Oryctolagus cuniculus: one gene and its partners. The protein of the gene in region 4 interacts with the protein of the main gene of each other region in a biochemical or structural test. Links are inferred from orthologs where the notes say so. Each region holds a gene or a part of one and is shown on either strand. Other genes may lie near its edges. The genes, in order: ERBB3, MAP4K1, FASLG, NCK1 and LCP2.

Evidence for each region.
Region 1: the proteins of NCK1 (region 4) and ERBB3 form a complex in vitro, tested with the Homo sapiens proteins (2 studies listed by BioGRID and IntAct, with this or other methods). The link is inferred for Oryctolagus cuniculus from reciprocal best matches to the Homo sapiens genes NCK1 and ERBB3.
Region 2: the proteins of NCK1 (region 4) and MAP4K1 form a complex in vitro, tested with the Homo sapiens proteins (2 studies listed by BioGRID, with this or other methods). The link is inferred for Oryctolagus cuniculus from reciprocal best matches to the Homo sapiens genes NCK1 and MAP4K1.
Region 3: the proteins of NCK1 (region 4) and FASLG form a complex in vitro, tested with the Homo sapiens proteins (2 studies listed by BioGRID and IntAct, with this or other methods). The link is inferred for Oryctolagus cuniculus from reciprocal best matches to the Homo sapiens genes NCK1 and FASLG.
Region 5: the proteins of NCK1 (region 4) and LCP2 form a complex in vitro, tested with the Homo sapiens proteins (2 studies listed by BioGRID and IntAct, with this or other methods). The link is inferred for Oryctolagus cuniculus from reciprocal best matches to the Homo sapiens genes NCK1 and LCP2.

The regions. Positions count from the first base shown.
Region 1 is NC_091442.1:58,896,805-58,900,318, forward strand, and holds part of ERBB3 (receptor tyrosine-protein kinase erbB-3), read left to right. Parts: intron 1-405; coding exon 406-525; intron 526-631; coding exon 632-730; intron 731-898; coding exon 899-1,084; intron 1,085-1,255; coding exon 1,256-1,411; intron 1,412-1,642; coding exon 1,643-1,718; intron 1,719-2,187; coding exon 2,188-2,334; intron 2,335-3,403; coding exon 3,404-3,501; intron 3,502-3,514. UniProt on the Homo sapiens protein: Tyrosine-protein kinase that plays an essential role as cell surface receptor for neuregulins.
Region 2 is NC_091449.1:16,067,382-16,071,538, forward strand, and holds the start of MAP4K1 (mitogen-activated protein kinase kinase kinase kinase 1), read left to right. Parts: upstream 1-1,355; 5' UTR 1,356-1,445; coding exon 1,446-1,544; intron 1,545-1,721; coding exon 1,722-1,779; intron 1,780-1,901; coding exon 1,902-1,992; intron 1,993-2,604; coding exon 2,605-2,669; intron 2,670-3,799; coding exon 3,800-3,855; intron 3,856-3,972; coding exon 3,973-4,020; intron 4,021-4,139; coding exon 4,140-4,157. Other genes in the region: EIF3K (eukaryotic translation initiation factor 3 subunit K), read right to left, coding at 78-817. UniProt on the Homo sapiens protein: Serine/threonine-protein kinase, which plays a role in the response to environmental stress. Appears to act upstream of the JUN N-terminal pathway.
Region 3 is NC_091438.1:1,340,227-1,344,516, forward strand, and holds the start of FASLG (tumor necrosis factor ligand superfamily member 6), read left to right. Parts: upstream 1-1,479; 5' UTR 1,480-1,886; coding exon 1,887-2,246; intron 2,247-2,804; coding exon 2,805-2,853; intron 2,854-4,290. UniProt on the Homo sapiens protein: Cytokine that binds to TNFRSF6/FAS, a receptor that transduces the apoptotic signal into cells. Involved in cytotoxic T-cell-mediated apoptosis, natural killer cell-mediated apoptosis and in T-cell development.
Region 4 is NC_091435.1:144,670,175-144,672,528, forward strand, and holds the end of NCK1 (SH2/SH3 adapter protein NCK1), read right to left. Parts: intron 1,379-2,354; coding exon 1,184-1,378; 3' UTR 511-1,183; downstream 1-510. UniProt on the Homo sapiens protein: Adapter protein which associates with tyrosine-phosphorylated growth factor receptors, such as KDR and PDGFRB, or their cellular substrates. Maintains low levels of EIF2S1 phosphorylation by promoting its dephosphorylation by PP1.
Region 5 is NC_091437.1:57,184,408-57,188,466, forward strand, and holds the start of LCP2 (lymphocyte cytosolic protein 2), read right to left. Parts: upstream 2,805-4,059; 5' UTR 2,592-2,804; coding exon 2,514-2,591; intron 1-2,513. UniProt on the Homo sapiens protein: Adapter protein primarily involved in signaling pathways within T-cells, as well as other immune cells such as platelets, mast cells, and natural killer (NK) cells.

The DNA of each region.
Region 1 (3,514 bases), on a different chromosome or scaffold from region 4:
GACTTTGATGTGCCTTCTCTGTGCTTAAGTTTGCACATCTGTACAGCGCAAATAGCACTCATCCTTCCAGGGAGACTGTTAGGGAGAAAGGGGATAATGCACATGAAAGTTCTTTGAAACGCACAGAGCACTGGATAAAAGGTACTCAAGGTGCCGACTTCCCAGCTCCCCAGCAAAGGGAAAACCTACCCCTCCTGACTCCTGAGCTCGCAAGCACAGCTTCTTCAGTCCTTGGGATCTGTTATTCCTAGATATGCCCATAGTGCTTTCCAGGGCTAAACATAATTCCCATTCCTGCCCCCACACCCTGGGCTCTGCTGCTCCTGGTAGCTATTGCGGGGAGCAGGTTGGTATGGGACATGTGAGTGGGCTTTCCTGAGTTTCTCTTTCCCATCTGCTCCTCAGAGCTTAGAGCCTCTGGATCCCAGCGAGAAGGCTAACAAAGTCTTGGCCAGAATCTTCAAAGAGACAGAGCTGAGGAAGCTTAAAGTGCTTGGTTCCGGCGTCTTTGGAACTGTGCACAAAGTGAGTGACCCCCAGGAAGTCTGGGGAGGTAGGGAATGGATCTGGGGGCAAAGGGCTGACCCTGGGGAGAATGACCCTAGGCTGACTCCTGCCCCAAACTTCCCAGGGTGTGTGGATCCCCGAGGGTGAATCCATCAAGATTCCAGTGTGCATTAAAGTCATCGAAGACAAGAGTGGACGGCAAAGTTTTCAGGCCGTGACGGATGTAAGTAAAGGAATGCTGTGCACCGGTGAGAGAGGGGACAAGATCAGACACAAGCACAGCCTGTGTTAGCAGATACTGTGTTAGACATGCTGATGCACCTGAATGTCCGGGGACGCCCTGGTTGGGGTGTGCCCGTGATTCCTGGATAACATCTCCCGTGTCTCTTAGCACATGCTGGCCATCGGCAGCCTGGACCACGCCCACATCGTACGGCTGCTGGGACTGTGCCCAGGGTCATCGCTGCAGCTCGTCACTCAATACCTGCCTCTGGGTTCCCTGCTGGATCATGTGAGGCAGCAGCGGGAGTCGCTGGGGCCACAGCTGCTGCTCAACTGGGGCGTACAAATCGCTAAGGTGAGAGGAGCATGGCGGGAGTCCTGCGGGAGCCACCTTGCTGCAGCAGGCAGGGCAGGGGTGAGAAGATGACAGCTTTGCAGTGCTTAGAGGACCCTCAAGGGTCTGGGGGCATTCAGGAGGTCCGCAGTGGATTTCCTCCGAGCCTGGGGCTATTTCCTTCCCCTACAGGGCATGTACTATCTTGAGGAGCACGGTATGGTGCACAGGAACCTGGCTGCCCGCAACGTGCTGCTGAAGTCAGCCAGTCAGGTTCAGGTGGCAGATTTTGGTGTGGCTGACCTGCTGCCCCCAGATGATAAGCAGCTCCTCCACAGTGAAGCCAAGGTGAGGGGACACAGAGGGCCTCGTGAGAGGTGGGGTAGTGTAAACAAAGCACGGGGGAAGTCTCTCAGAGCAAGCAGATGCTTCACCGTTAAATTCATGGAGGGCAAGGTGGGGTTGGCAGAAATTTAAGTGCAGACGGCAAGAAGGAAAAACGATAGCATGCTTGGGGTTTGGAAATGCTAAGAAAATTTGTGGAAATGGACTAGTGACACCTTTGTCTTTACTCCCCAGACTCCAATTAAGTGGATGGCTCTTGAGAGTATCCACTTTGGGAAATACACACACCAGAGTGACGTCTGGAGCTACGGTCAGTGCATCTGGGTGCCTTCATGCCATCACTGTCCCAAATTCCACGACTACCTTTTTTTTTTTTTTTTAGTTAATTAATTAATTTGAAAAGCAGAGTTGTAGAGAGGCAGAGAGGAGAGGCCTTCCATCCACTGGTTCACTCCCCAGATGGCCACAATGGCCAGAGCTGCGCCAATCCAAAGTCAGGAGCCAAGAGCTTCTTCTGGGTCTCCAATGTGGGTGGCAGGGGCCCAAGGACTTGGGCCATCTTCTGCTTTCCCAGGCCATAACAGAGCTGAATTGGAAGCGGAGCAGCCGGGACTCGAACCGGTGCCCATATGGGATGCCTGCTACACCACAGTGCCAGCCCCCACAACTGCCTTTGGAGATACCCTCTCTTAGACTCTCTAAGCCCTTCACATCTTGTGTCTGACCAACTTCTGCCTCCCTTTTTACTTCATTGCCTATGGGTACTGTTTTCTTACCAGGTGTGACAGTTTGGGAGCTGATGACCTTCGGTGCAGAGCCCTATGCAGGGCTGCGATTAGCAGAAGTACCAGACCTGTTGGAGAAGGGGGAACGGTTGGCACAGCCCCAGATCTGCACCATTGATGTCTACATGGTCATGGTCAAGTGTGAGTCGCCTGCTGGCTCCAGTCAATTTTTTTCAAATACTTATTTATTTATTTATTTTTAAAGATTTATTTGAAAGAGTTACAGAGAGAGGTAGAGAGGTCTTCCATCCACTGGTTCACTCCCCAAATGGCCGCAATGGCTGGAGCTATGCCAATCTGAAGCCAGGAGCCAGGAGCTTCTTCCAAGTCTCCCAAGTGGGTGCAGGGGCCCAAGGACTTGGTCCATCTTCTACTGCTTTCCCAGGCCATAGCAGAGAGCTGGATTGGAAGAGGAACAGCCAGGACTAGAACTGGCACCCATATGGGATGCTGGCGCTTCAGGCCAGGGTGTTAACCTGCTGCGCCACAGCACCGGCCCCTATTTATTTTTCTGAAAGGTAGAGTGACAGATCTATCTGTTGGTTTATTCCTCAAATGACTGCAACAGCCAGGGCTGCGCCAGGCTGTCACAGTATCCAGGAACTCCATCCAGGTATCCCACATGGGTGGCAGGGACTCAAGTACTTGAGCCTTCATCCACTGCTTCCTGGTGCTTTAGCAGGGAGCTGGATAGGAAGCCTAGTAGTTGGGACTTAAACCAGCACTCAGATATAGGATGTGGATGACCCAAGGAAGAGGCTAAATTGCTGGCCCGACATCCCCCCCTCCCCCAGCCTTTTTTTTTTTTTTTAAGAGAGAGATCGATCTTCTATCTGCTGGTTCACTCCCCCAATTGGCCCCAAAGGCCGGAGCTGCGTTGATCTGAAGCTAGGAGCCAGGAATTTCTTCTGGGTCTCCCACGCGGGTACAAGGGCCCAAGGACTTGGGCCATCTTCCACTGCTTTCCCAGGCCATAGCCGAGAGCTGAATAGGAACTGGTGCTCATATGGGACACCAGAATTGCAGGAGGTGGCTTTACCCACTATGCCATAGCACTGCCCACCCCCACCCCCACCCCAAGCCATTTTTTCACAGTTGATCTTAGCCAAAAGGCTGAAAATCCCAGCTATTTGTTAACTGTTCTCCCTCCCATCTCCTCTTACGGCTCCATGCACACTGACGGTTTTTTACCTCCTGTGTCTTATCCTAGGTTGGATGATTGATGAGAACATTCGCCCAACCTTTAAAGAACTAGCCAATGAGTTCACCAGGATGGCCCGAGATCCACCACGGTATCTAGTCATAAAGGTGAGTAGGGACT
Region 2 (4,157 bases), on a different chromosome or scaffold from region 4:
GGAATGCCCTCCCCACGAGCCACCCTTTGCTCCTCCATTCCGCGTGGCCAGAGCGCTCCGCCTGACCGGGCTCAGACCTGTCGATACCCTTGAGCAACTTGCCCACGTTCGCTCTCATCTGCTCAAACATCGCCATGGCTCCCGCCGCCTTCCGCAAGCAGCCCGCACCAGGTCTCCCAAGGCCGGAAGAGGAAAGACGTAGCGGAAACGGAAACGACGTACGCGGCTCGGCACCGCCGGGCGCGCCGAGGCGGAAGGCGCAAGCGGCGGCGGCCACGCTTTCCGGCTGACACGTGATCCGCCCCCGCCCCGCAGGCGTAATTGGCGCCTGCGCGTTTGCTCCGCCCGAGCTGGACCGACCGCGAGAGAAAAAGCTCAGTGTGACCCAGGGCGCAGCCGCCGTCGTGGGAGCGAGGAGGCGGGGCTGAGCTTTTCCCGGGCCTCGCAGGTCCCGCTTCGGGCCCGGGGACGCGCGCGCGCGCGCACGAAGGCGCCAGGAAGAGGCCGAGCCCTGCCGGCGTGCGTGCACGTCGTATTGCGCGCGGCCGTGAACCCAATGAACTGTGCGGGAAGGCACGGAGCCGCCTTTTTTTTTTTTTGGGCCGCGGCCGAGTCCCGACCATCCTGGGCTCCTGAGACAGGATCCCGAGCTTCTCCGTTTCAAGTTTTGAACTGTGGTCCCCACCCTCCGTCCCAGCTCCAGCCACAGGGGAATAGGGGTCCACGAAGCCGTGCGCTCTGCTGGGCAGAGGCTGGGGTAAAAGGTTCCTAGCCTCCGCCCCCTGGCTGAAGGCTTAGACCCCCCTGTGTGCCGCATTGAGTTATTTGTGTCAAGACTGTACACTACACACGCGGGTACACATGCATGGCCACATACGTGGAGTGTGCGCTCTGGGTAACTCCACGTGTACACAGATACCCAGGCATGCACATGGTTAGGCCTCTGCAAAACTCTGGGCACACGGATGTGTCCTAGGGAACAGGTGTGCAGGCTGCACGGCCGTCCCTGCGCAGACCTGCCACTTCCGAGTGTAAGCACCCATGGCTAGTAGCCCCAGACACCCTCCAGCAGCCCAGGACTGGAGGAGGGGGGGAGAGGGGGTGCTAGGGCGCTCCCCTCCCCAGGTTACAATTAAGGCTATTTGCATCTCATTTACATCCAGCCCCCGGCCTTGGGGGCGTAGGGGGGTCCCCTGGGTCCCGAGGCAAGCTGCTCCTCACTGGCTTTCGGAGCCCAGGGGACAGGGGTGGAGCCGTTTGCCCAGGCCTGCAGCTGGGACAGGAAGCGAGAGTGGGGAAGGGGGAGGCCACAGCCCACAGAGAGGAGGCGAGGCGGTGCAGGGCTTGTGGGGAAGGGAGGGAGGGAGGGAGGGAGGGAGGTGCCAGAGCTGGAGCCCTGAGGCCCCGCTGGCCCCTGGGCACAGGCCCAGCTCCAGCCCCCAGGGATGGACCTCGCGGACCCCGACATCTTCAACAGGGACCCCCGGGACCACTACGACCTGCTTCAGCGGCTGGGTGGCGGCACCTACGGGGAAGTGTTCAAGGTGAGCAGGCCTCTCGGTCTCTCCGTCACCCTGAAGCCCAGGACCTTCGGGCTGAGGCCCAAGCAAGGAAGGGGGTGCAGGAGGGCCCCAGTGCTTAGCCTTGGCTCAGGGATGCTGGGGTGGGGGGTGGGCTCGGGCGGATGGAAACCCTCCAGCTGCAAACTTGCCCTTTCCAAGGCTCGAGACAAGGTGTCGGGGGACCTGGTGGCGCTGAAGATGGTGAAAATGGAGCCTGGTGAGCGCAGGACCCGGGACCCCTGCCCTCCCCTCCCCTCCCCTGCCGCACCTGCGGGCCCCGCTGGGCCGGCCTCCTCTGCCTTCCCGGCAGCTTTCTTTTCTCTCCGCCCCTGCTCGCAGACGACGACGTCTCTACCCTGCAGAAGGAAATCCTCATATTGAAGACCTGCCGGCACGCCAACATCGTGGCCTACCATGGGAGCTACCTCTGGTGACGGCCTCCCCCTACCCCGACCTGGGGTCCTCCCTCCCAAAGGGGCACCCGCTGACCTCCTCTCCGATTCTGGAGCCCCATCTTCAACTGGGGCACCTCGAGCTCACCCCCGAGTCCCAAACCCCGCTTTTCTGCCCAGAGCCCCCTTTTCTGCACGGTGGTCCCCAAATCAATGCCTTCCCAGGAGCCAGGCCTGAACTCAGCTCTGCTGGAGACTCGGCCCTCCCCTGGCTTCCCGCTCTGCTCCTTTAACGGGACCCCTGCAGTTCCCTGCCCCTCGGATGAACGCTCCAGACAACCTCAGCCCCCCCCCCCCCCCAGCCCCCTGCTCGCACGCGCCTCCTGCTCACTTCCACGGTCTGAGGGCTCTCACACAGCAGAGGGTGCAATGGGTCTGAAGGCCAAAGACCTGGGTTTGCGCCGAGTCGCCCCTGAACACAGTTTCCTTTCTGAGCCTCAACTTCCCCCTCTGTAAAATGGGAATGGGGTGGGCAGAGGGAAAGGGAGGGATGCCACCGGATGCTGATGGTCTTGCGCCCAGGGCCCTGCTGCAGATGGTAACGCGTTGCCGCTGCTACTGGCCTGATTGCTACTCTCCAACCGCTGCAGGCTGCAGAAGCTCTGGATCTGCATGGAGTTCTGTGGGGCTGGCTCTCTCCAGGACATCTACCAAGGTCAGAGGGGGGTGGGGGATCCAGGCCCCTCCCCGCTCCCCCCATCCCTCTGCGTGTCCTTGGGAACTGGTTTTCTGGTCTGGATTTTAAACAAGGAGCCCCTTCTCTGGCCCCGGGTGATGCTGAGGGTGTCATGATGACCCAGCATGCCCCGGGCCTGGCCAGCCTCAGTCTCTCTGCAGGCGGTGATTCCCCCCACCCTCCCCCGCCCCGCCCCACCCCTGTCCCCATCTTGGTCTCTGCAATTTCTGGCTTATTCCTGGGTCTCAGCGCGCCTGCGTTCTCTGGCCCCTGGGAGATGCCCCACCGTCCTCGGATGAGGGGCTGAATTTCCAGTTCTGGCTCTTGGCCTGCCCTTGCTCCGACCACCTCCCCTGTGCGCCCGTCTGTCCCTGTCTTGATCCCCTCTTCACCCCTCCTGTCTCTCTCTTGCTGACTTGCCACATCTTGGTCTCTGTCTCAGTTTGGATCTGTCCCTGTTCCGTTCTCTCTCTCTCTCTGCCTCTCCTCATTTGGCAAAAATCACATCACTCTGCCATCCACAGCCCACCCACGAGAAGCCCACACCTCTCATCACGTGAGGCCCCGGGTCTCAGCCCACACGTGATGACCAAGCTCGCCTCCTGCGACCTTCCTCCCCCCACGTCACTGCTTGTCAACCCCCTCCCGCTGCCGCCCCCGGCCCCTGCCCTCCCATCCTCACGGCTGTGACCTTAGAATAGCCACTGCTGACCAGCTGCGCCCGGGGTCAGAACCCTGCCCACACGCACTTCCTGTTGTCTGTTCTGGCTCTTTCTTCTCGCTATTGGCGCCTCCCGTGGGCTCCGTTTTGCTCACCTTCTGGTCCGCTGCCTGCCTCCCCGCCCCAGACTGTGCTCTCCCCGAAGCCAGGGACGGTTTGCCTCCGCCTCCCGGCTCTGCCCTGGTGCCTGGCACCCAGCAGACACAGCACCTGCCTGCGGAGCTGAGCGACTGCCCCCCTCCAGCCTGGCTCCTCGCTGAGCACCCTTCCATCTCCCCCTCCCCGATGGCACCCTCTCAGCTGGTGTGGGCGGGGGCCGGGGGACCCCCTGGGGCTCTGGTTGCCCAGCTCCCCCCAACACCCGGCCTGGCCCGCGTGCCCCTTGCAGTGATGGGCTCCCTGTCTGAGCTGCAGATCGGCTACGTCTGTCGGGAAGTGCTGCAGGTGAGGAGAGCCTGGGCCCTGGTGGGGCTGGGGCTGGGGGTACAGGGCAGGCGGGGCCCTACTGCAGCCCCACCCACCCAGGGGGCACTCACGCACCCCCTGCCACCCTCTCCCCAGGGACTGGCCTACCTGCACTCACAGAAGAAGATCCACCGAGACATCAAGGTGGGCTGGGCGCTTGGGTACCCGACGGGAGTGACCTCGTGGTGGGGCCAGGGGGCAGGGCAGCGCTGGGCTACACAGCAGGGGCTCCAGCAGCTTCTGGGCCCCTCTCTCGTCCCCAGGGAGCCAACATTCTCATC
Region 3 (4,290 bases), on a different chromosome or scaffold from region 4:
ATGTAAGGAAAAGGGGGCCACAGAACAGAGAGGAGACAGGGTACAAACTCGCAGCCAGACCAAATTTATTCAGAGAAAATAAACTCACAGAGGTTGACAAACTGCCATCAAGCTCACAGATGGAACACGTGGCAGAAGCCCAGACCCTAGCAGGCTGGGCCTGTTTATAACTTAGGTGGGCTGGGGTGGGGCTGGGGGCAGTAGGCCGAGGTGAGTTTCTCCCTATTGGTTCTTCAGGTTTGGCCCACTGGCTTCCAAACCTGGGGAAGAATGCGGGGGGGGGGGGGGGGGGGGGGGACAATACAGGGAAGGAGACTGAACTCCTCTCTTGAAAGAAGACAGGGTAACAAGAACCTAAAGTGGCTGAGGCTCCTGTCCTTGTTGCATCAGTTCCTGTCACCATATGGTAGACTTGGATTGAGTTCCCAACTCCTGACTTCAGCCATGCCCAGTCCCAGCTATTGTAGGCACTTGGGAGTGAATCTGGAAGATGAAAACTTCCTCTTTCTCTCTCTCTCTCTCCCTCCTTCCCCACTCTCTGATGCAATACAATTTTGAAATTCATTAATAGAGTTTTCATTGTACACATTTTCCATGAACTTCTTGAAAACCCCTTGTACATTTGGTATTGACGTGGTCCACGTGAGAGAGCCAGAACGACAGTCACAGAAATCTCACAGTGTGATGTAGAAACTAATGAAACTGAAAAGTAGACATCTTCAAAAGAACAGAAATTGAAGATTTGTGGAAATTTTATACAGTTTTTATGGGAGAATGATTAAGAGTGAGGCTGAGTACTTGGAAGTTATTGGCATATTAATGGTATTTGAGACCAAAAGAAAGGGTGAGGTCATAGCCCAGGCACAGTTGCCATCTTTAGCAAAAAACAAAGTTAAAAAAAGGACACCCTTTAAAATTTGAATTTCAGATAAACAATGAATAACATTTTAGTACAACTCTTGCATTGTTTAGGACATACATACCCTGAAGCTTATTTGTTGATCTGAAATTCAAGCAATTCTAGTAAACATAACAGCAGCTATGAACAGGGCTGCCTACAGGGGCCAGAAAGCCATTTCACAGGTGAGGTGGTGTGGGAAACACAGTACAGGGTGGAGGGACCTTGGGGGTGGAGGTTGGGCTACCTGGTCACCTGTGTCTCATTCCTGGGGACACTTGCTCCTCACCTCCAGCTGACTGAATTTGTGGAGATGGCCTTAAAAATATTTACAACAGAATGAAAATAGGTATTTTAATGTGGACTGTCTTGATTTTACAAATGAGAAACAAATCATCAAGAAGTAAAAACAGAGCTAGGCTGTGAGATCCACAAAGCATATCTGATCTAATCTCTAGAGTGGGCGGGGCAGGGTCTAATCTGTAAATTATGGTGATTTGCAGGGTTCGGGTAAACAGTGCTTGGTGTGGGGAAGGGATGCGGGAGGGGGATGATTTCCTCTTGCAAGTGACTCCAGTCTCCCCGCTCAGCGCCACTCTCCCTGCGCCAGCACTGCGCCCAGTGCTGCCCTGCTCTGCAGGCCCGAGGAAGGCGGTCACGGCTCCCTGCCTTTTCAGGTAGCGCAGCCACGGCAGCTGTGGCTCCGGGGGCTTTCATCAGAAAGTTGTGGGCGGAAACTTCCAGGGGTTGGCTCTGAGCTTCTTGAGGCTTCTCAGCTGCAGATATAAGGTGAGTGGGTGTCTCTCTGAGAACTAGCAAGAGAAGATGAGAGAGAGAGAGAGATTGATTGGTGTTTCCCTTGGTGTGGAAACTCTATAAAGCGAGAGCTGGCTGTTCCTCTCTTAACAGTGAGCAGCAGGAGTTCCTTCTTCGACATTGCAGCCTCCACAGGACTGAGAAGTAAAATCCTTGGGAGTCCCTGGCTGCCATGCAGCAGCCCTTCAGTTATCCATATCCCCAAATCTACTGGGTGGACAGCACTGCCAGCTCTCCCTGGGCCCCTCCAGGGTCAGTTCTCCCCTGTCCATCCTCTGTACCTGAAAGGCCTGGTCAAAGAAGGCCACCACCACCACTGCCACCGCCGCCGCCACCGCTACCACCACCACCACTGCCCCCGCTGCCCCCACTGCCCCCGCTGCCCCCACCACCCCTGAAGAAGAGGAAGGACCACAGCACAGGCCTCTGCCTCCTTCTGATGTTTTTCATGGTCCTGGTGGCCCTGGTTGGATTGGGGCTGGGGATGTTCCAGCTCTACCACCTGCAGAAGGAGTTGGCCGAGCTCAGAGAGGTAAGCTGTGTCCAGCAATCACTGGGGTGGGAGGAGGGCTCTGCTGCTGTGGGATGGAGCCTCCTGGGGTCTACCCGGACCACTGTCTTGCTTGCAAAGTGCTTTTCAAGCTTTACTGTTTGTCTTGGAAAGGGATTGTTCTTGTCGTTCTATTCTATAGGTAGAGAAATGGAGGGTCCTATGAATGAAGAGGTATTTTCTGTCTTGTAAAGAATTTGAGCCATATGGTTTTGCCTTTTTCAGTTGTCATGTCAGTCTGTGAAGCCACTGACCTCAGATCTAGTGATTCAAGAAATAAAAAAAAAACTTTGAGTCTGCTTAGAAGTGAATGTATTCAAATGACCAGACTGAATTTCCTTGAAAACATTTTAAAAAATCTGGTACCATTTCAAATGACAAAACTGAGGGACAATGAGACAAACTTGTTTGGCTAAAGTCTGAGTTAGGAAAGGTTCTGAGGAGTTTGGAATCTCTTTCGGGGGCTGGCTTATTTGGCAATTCCTCCACTGATTAAAGAGCTTCCTATTTATCATACATCTTTTCTCTTTCTTCCGGTAGTCCTTCAGTCAAAGGCACACAGCATCATCATCTATGGAGAAGCAAACAGGTGAGTCCTTTTATTCATGTGATTTGAATTTCCAAAGATAATCCTTAGCACTGAACATTGTTGGGGGGATACCTTGAATCCTATCCCATTCCTGGGCTTGTGAATATTATGAGAAGAGTCTTGGACAATTCTGAACCCCTGGTCAGTGTGGTTTCTTGAGCATCTTTTAAAATATGAAGTGAATTTCACTGCTCAAAATCAGTGTAGCTGAGTGTTTCACACAATGCAAAATACTTTTGACTTGACTTTGGGATGAGACACACATACATAATCCTGGAGCCCTGCCATTTGGGCAGCTGGTTGCAGGCCCATCTCCTTCCTCAGGAGTCCTAGTTAGGTATGGGCAAAGAGAGAAACTTCTGGGAAATGTCCTCTCCTCTTCTCAACTCCAGAAAAGAGATCACTCAAGAGTCAAGCTTCATTTAAGACATTGTACAAGATTTAGCTAAGCTTTTGATAAGTGGACAATTTCCCACATAGCATGGTTCCTTTGAAGTCATGGGGAGGCCTGGGAGAAGATTTAACCCATATTCAAAGGATTATTCCACTTTACCTATGAGATGTTTTTGACAATAAAGGAAAGTCCTTTGTATGAAATCCAGTACAAGAAAAAGGTAAAAGTGTTGAATTCTGGCTTCATTAAATTTCAGAGCATAGATTTAGACACTGTGGACAAGTATATTTTAGGATTTGCTCCATTTGTATTAAACCAAGATTAATTGACTTTTTAAACTTGGTTAGAACTGAGAGGGATCTTAAAGATCATCAGTTCCACCCATTTCATTTCTCAGAAGAGAAACAAAACATCAGACAGATTGGGTGATGTGCCCATGACTACTGGGTGGCGCTGGGGCTAGAAGGGATGTAGGCTCCTGCTGCCTTGGCACTTCCAGGACTTTCTAGCATGTGGACTGGTGCCTCATGGAAAGACAGAAACTCTTGCTTGACTGTAATTGCCAGGGGATGAGAAAGAAATGGAAAGCAGGACACTTCTGCAAAATCAGTAGGTAATTTTTTTCCTTAGAAATGTGGAAGAAGAGAGCAGGCAGGGCTAGCCATCCATTAAGTGCTGCCAGTTTCAATCTCAGGATAGCCTACTGCAGGTGGCCCAGGTCAGCGACTTCCCTGGAGCATAAACTCATGTAGGAGCCATCACTGAGATGCTCTGGCCCCTTGTTCTGATGTGGTAGAAACTCAGGAGGGGCACAGAGTGGAAACACTTTTTAGAAAAACGCAGCCTCTGGAGGACTTCTAATGTCACTTTGAAAATCAGGGGACTGTGGCTAGGGAAACAGGTACCTCATTACTCATCTCTCACCCACTCTCTGGAGGCGTTTTATTGGTTAAAAGTTAAATGAACAGATGAGTCAGGTCTACCTACCCCACTAAACTCTTATCTTCTCTGCATCAACCCAGACAGATCAGAAATTAGGGAAT
Region 4 (2,354 bases):
TTACCATTATTAAAATGTTGATGGTTACCTGCTTAAATTTTAATCTCCAGAATAAATACTGGAGAGAAAAGCTGTGACCATAAAATACAACTGGTTTTCTTCTGTAGCCTACAGAAGTAGATTCAATACTTTCCAGTAGCCTCTCATCCAGACACCCACTCTCCTATCTGGTAAATAAAATAGAACTCCCTAATCATAAGCACATTCCACTTTTCCCTCAGATATACAATTTTAGTGTCCCAGTGAACAAATGTAGGAAATGAAAACAGGAAACACTATTCTAACAATTACAGATGTTTAGGGAGAAAAACTATAGGTATCTGACTGCCTCCTATTTCCCCAAAAGTCAGACGTAATTTATTTCACCCTGGTATAAATATAACATGTACTTATACAAGATGCTTTGGTAAAATAACACAAGGAGAGAAAGCAACACTACAGCAGCTGTTTAGTTTTAAGCTAAATATTTTAGAGATTGCTCTGTTCTCTTGAATAACCACAAAAAACACCTCCCAAAATGAAGAATTTAGTGATTTTTGCTTCCAACAGTTATAAATTAAAATTGTACAAGCTGTTTTCTAACCCATGTCCCACCTGCTTTGTAGTACATTGAAGATAATGAATGCATTTTTTAAAAATAATGGCAGACATAATACTTTACTTTGTATTTACAATGGCTGTGGCAAATACAATACCTGAAAATAATTTCTAATTTTTCATTTATTATTGCTATTTAGTCACAGAAAAGATTAACATTCTCCAAGAAATTTATTTTACCATATGCTATATATATAATTTTATATGAAGAGAAACCATTGCAGAACTAACAGGGTGCCACTAAAAGGAAATAAACAAATGGCAATAGAGGAATTCTTCCATATAAAGACTTCTGATCTGTATTATTTGACTTTTTTTCAAAATACAAAACCTCAATATTAGAAGCAAAAAGGAAAAAGTAAATAACAGAAGACCAAAGATAAGGAATTGTTCTATGTGAATGCATTGCATACGTAGCATATGTGAATGAGCTGAGTTATAATAAAAATACCTATGGTATATAGTCAATTCTCATACAGAGTTAGAAATAGCAATTTCCAATCAAGTATGACTGGACCAACGTTATCTCAGTCTTCAATTACATGATGAATTAAAGCTGTACAGCAGTCACTTCTGAGCAGCAGTATCATGATAAATGCTTGACAAGATATAATTTTTCTCCTTGTTCACTTGTAAAAATTGGTGCCTTTTTGTAATGTTCTACAAGTTCTTCCATGGTGCTGAATTTACGCTGCCCAATGCAGTAGACAGTCTCTTTGAGTTGAACTTTAAAATGCTTGTTTTTCCCTTGTGCTTTTAGTGATACAGAGAAATCATTTGGCTGAAAGAGAAAAAAAAAAAAACATTCTGAAAGCCATCTATCAGCATTTTTATATTAAACTAATAACATAAAATGTGATCACTTACTAAAGTACAAGTACCATGCAAAATTATTTACATGCTAAATAACCTATCTCCTTTACTCCTCAAAACAAATTTTTTTAAAGACGGAAAAACACTAAGTTGCCCAGTATCATCCATCCAGCTAACAAAAGAGTCTCAAGTGAAATCCATGTAGTCAAGAGTCTCATCATCCGTGGCACCCATGGCATAACATAATGGAAAATCTTTAGTTTAACAGTTGAATCACTAGAGCTATATTCTCTCCAGACTATTGGAGAAACACATGAAAAAAAAAAAAATCTAAGGGATCCAGCCTACAGCTCTTCAATTTGTTGCTAATAGTAACTGATAATACTCTGAATACTCAGATAATACTCTGAAGTCTCAAAAATGAAGGAAATGTCAATGAGAACTGAACTCTAATGAGAGGTCACAAACTCAAATGCCTACAAGGGTCAAAAGAGTAATGTAAATAAGAGGTATAGGGAGGGAAGAGTAGATAGACAGTGTATGGCCAATTTAAAACAAGCGGTCATTTCCTCAGCTGTGAGTGTGATCTTGCAGGAACACAGCCTCAATGCTGGCAAGTATTCCAATTTTATTTTACTCTTACTGTGTATATATCTGATAGGTATGTGTACACGTACACAAACACCCCAGTGGGCGGGCAGGGATTCACTGGTTTCACTCCCACGCAAATGCCTACAATGGCCAGGGTGGGGCCAGAACTCTGCTGGGAGCCAGAACTCAATCCAGGTCTCTCATACAGGTGGTCGGGAAACCAATTACTTGAGCCATCACCACTGTCTCCCAAGGCCTGCATTAGCAAGAAGCTGTAATCAGGAGCTGGAGCTGAGAACCCAATCTCGGTACTCCATCGTGGGATGCAGGTTTTTTTTTGGACAGGCAGAGTG
Region 5 (4,059 bases), on a different chromosome or scaffold from region 4:
TAGAGCCCTGCGATCCACATACCAATGAGTGGCCAGTTAACACAGCAGGAAACTGGGAGCAATAAACATTTTGATACCTCTGTCTGCTGAATGCCTCACATACACTATTTCCTTTACTCCTCTCAACCATTCCACTGGGTTTGTTACCCTTCATGTCTGTTTAATTGCCTGCTTTGGTAGAACTTGTGCCTACCAATTGCCTTCCAATCATCTACCAATCAACCCGTGAAATGATACATTTTATTTCCAAGATCCATCCCCAGATGACCCTGTGTTGAGCAATGTTTTCTCTCTTGAGGACTGACTTGCTCAGAGAGGCGAAGTAGCTAAGGGAAGGCCACCAAACTAGCAGGTGGCAGAGCCAGGGTTCCAACAAGGTGTGTCTGACTCCAGAGTTGGGCAGCGTGGTATCACTGAGGGAAGCCTGACCCTGACACGTGGGTAGAAGCTGCACCCACCAAACGCCTACCCACTGATGCGTTAAATGGGTATGCTTGATCACTAAGATCCATCCCCAAATGAACTTGCAGTCAGTGCGCTCCTGGTTCTGTCTCTTGGGGACTGAGATGGCCTGGGACTTCCAGGGTCACAGATTCCCCTCTGCCTCCTTGTTCCTACCTGGGTCCTTTTGTGCCGGGAGGGGAACCTGGCCCAGTGCTATGCAGTTTTTGCAAGGTCTTAGAACTCCAAGAAGAGAATCATCTCTTCCCCGAACTCAGACAGAGAGCTGTGTCCTGCCCTCCAGTCTGTCCTATCGCCCTGCGCTGACAGGAACTTTGTCTACAGACTCTCTGTCGGTCAGCTGAGTTGTGAAATTTTTCTGACCACATTTGAAATAGCCCCTCAGCCTCTCCTGGGCCTTTCCCTCTGTAACTCTCAACTCCTTTCTCCCTTCTTTATTGCAATAACGTACCACATACTTCCATCTGGGCAAATTTTACCTTTGATCGCCCTATCTCAGAGAAGTATTAGAAACACTCTTCAAAGGCCAGTCGGGCCAGTTGTCCAATGATCTTTGCATCTACAAACCCAAAACCTAGTTTTGTTATGACTTTATACATGTGTGGGGTGGAGGCAGAGGGGACAACAGAAGTGAAATGCACAAGAAACAGAAAACGACAGGCTCTGTGGGGCTGTGCCCCTACCATGCCACACCTGGTTCAAGGTTTTTGTTTTTAGGCTGGGGAAGAACCATCATCACTGCAAATACCTTGGTACTATGAGACCTCAGGTTCAGCTATGTGTCCCAGAGAGCCTATTCCACCCCCGCGGGGCTCAGTTTCCCCAGGAAAAACAGTTAAGTGAGATGACATGTAAAGTCTTAGTGCTACAAGCTCTTCTTTATGCTGGTCTGCAGTATCAACTAAATGTGGTGCCAGCCTGCAGGGAAGAGGATGTTAGAAGAGCAAATGTCCCTTCGGCTGGTGCTGTGGTACAGTGGGTTAACGCCCTGGCCTGAAGCGCCGGCATCCCATATGGGCTGCTGCACTTCCGATCCAGCTTTCTGCTATGGCCTGGGACAGCAGTAGAAGATGGCCCAAGTCCTTGGGCCCCTGCACCCACATGGGAGACCTGGAGGAAGTTCCTGGCTTCTGGCTTTGGATTGGCATAGCTCCGGCCGTTGCAGCCAACTGGGGAGTGAACTAGCAGATGGAAGACCTCTTTCGCTCTTTCTCTCCCTCTCTCTCTGCCTCTCCTTTCTCTGTGTAACTCTGACTTTCAAACAAATAAATAAATCTTAAAAAAGAGAGCAAATGTCCCCTGCAAGGCATCCTATGCTAGAGACAGGAACAGAGGATCCATACTTGCTCGGGCAGGCTTGTGTCCTGTCATCCCCACCAGCAGGTGGACAAGCAGACGATCTTTGAGCATCTCTTCCAAGTCTGGAAGGTAGGACAGCAACCCTGGTCCCGGCTCCACTGCAGTGAGACTCTGATCTATGTAAGAACTTGAGGACCCAGCTTTCTGGGCCCTGAGCAGTGAGTGGCCAAACGCCATGTCTAGCGTTGTTCACCCTCTACCCCTGCCTCCTTCCCTGCCTGTTGTTCTGCACCCAGAGCACCAGGTCTCCCCTTTCTAGAATGTAGTTCTCTTCATCTCAGAGCACAGACTGAAACTGCACAGAAGTGACTCCAATCCTTCTGTCACTACCACCTGTAGTCCCTGTGGCTTTGGGCTGTTTAGCTTCCTTGAGCCTACCTTGAAGCTGAGCCACAGGGATGACAATATTGACCTCAGAAGATTGTCAAGAGGGATCAATGGCACAGTGCTGCAGTGTACCGAGTTCAGGCCCTGGCACATGGTAGGCACCTACTCATTCAAGAGCTCCTGCTCCCACCCTCCTCTCCAGAACTCACTGCAAGGAGCTCTCAGTGGTCTCCCATGGCGCTCACTCTCCCAACAAGGCTGCCGAGAGGCCAGTCACTCCACAGCTGTCTTTTACACCTCTTGTCTTCTGCCCAGCCCATGGAGGGCACTCCCAGCCCGACCACCAACAAAAGAGTGGGTCTCACCTTCTTAAAGTAGTCAGCAAGGCTGTCAGGGTCCCAGGCGAGGACTTCGGAGCGAAAGGGCACGTTCCTCAGTGCCATGGCCGCTGTCTTAGGAGGGGGCTCACAGGTTGAGCGTGGATGCTGCACCCATGGACAGAGAACCCCAAATCCAGATCTTGGAGGCGTCCTTGGCTCTCCCAACTCCCAGCTGCCCCTGGATCGGCCTTGTTGGAGCAGACGTCTTTTCTGCTGTAGTCGGATCCCAGAAAGCAGCAGCTTCCTCTGCGAACAAATATGGTCTCTTCTCAGAAAACGACTTGGCTAGTTTCCTTTACCACTTCCTCTGCTGGCTTCTAAATAAGTAAACAAGGAAGCCCAGCTCTGAGGGCTTGAGATGCAGACAGAGTGACAGGGCAGGTCATTCTCCACCTCGCCCGTGGTCCTGGGCACCCCTGCCCAGCAGGAGGGGCCATGAAGGGCGCTTAAACTCCGAAGCCAGCCCAAGCATTTTGCTGTTAAAACTCCTGTCCCTTCAGCCCCACCCCATGGGTCTACACCACGTTCTTGCTCTGCTGGGGCTTTGCAGATGAATATCTATTCATCTGACAATTGACCTAAAATATAGACAACTTCCAGCAACAGGGAGCTGTGGTGTGGGGGGACGCATGCATGATGCCCCTTCTTCCCTCTTCTCTCAGCCCTAGTCTCTAGCAGTCTCTGCCTGCTACCATTGAAATGAGAGGGTGAGTCTGTAGTGCGTCAGGCATCCAAGGCTGAGCAAGGCGCTACCCTGGGCCAACCCGGGTTCCCTTCTGATGGGAGCTTCTCTGTGCTGTGCAACCTTAGGCAAGGACTTAAAATCTGGGGAGCTCAGTTTCCCTATATGTAAAATAGGAAAGCAGAGGAATTGCCTTATACACACATAACAAATAGATGCATTTAACTTGAGAACCTTCAAATGAAAAAATCAGAAAGCTAGAAGTGACAATTGCTACAGCTGGTGCCTTGGATTCCACTGTGTGTTTACAGCTCATGTTTTATTCACTGTTGATGACATCATGTGTTTCAATCAAAAAGCACATTCCCTGGAGACAGGAGTAGGAATCTTCTAATTTCTTCACCAGTCTCAGACTGTGCATTTCTATAGACGGAGCAACTTGTTGTCAGACAGCCAAGCCAGGGTCTAAAAGGCAATGCATTTGTGCAATGCAGCAGTGGCCTCTGAACAAAATAGAGCTACTTCACTCGGTTCTACACACTCACTCTCTCTCTCACACACACACACATAGCCACCAGTGCTGGTGCTTTGGGAAAGAATCAAGCTTTGTTGCCTTACTGAGCAATGCTATGACAGTCCCTGCATGGTGCCTTCCTGAAGGTTTTTCAAGGGTAGCTTTGGCCACACACACTCTACATCTTATACACAATGTAAGGAGCCCACTGTCATGTCATGCTCCTGCCTCCCTAGCCGGTTGCGAGCTTAAGTGAGGCACACATTTAGTCCCAGGCCCGGCACCTGGACAATGGTGCATGGGCTGGTGATAGCCTCACCTCAGTGGGTGCTGGG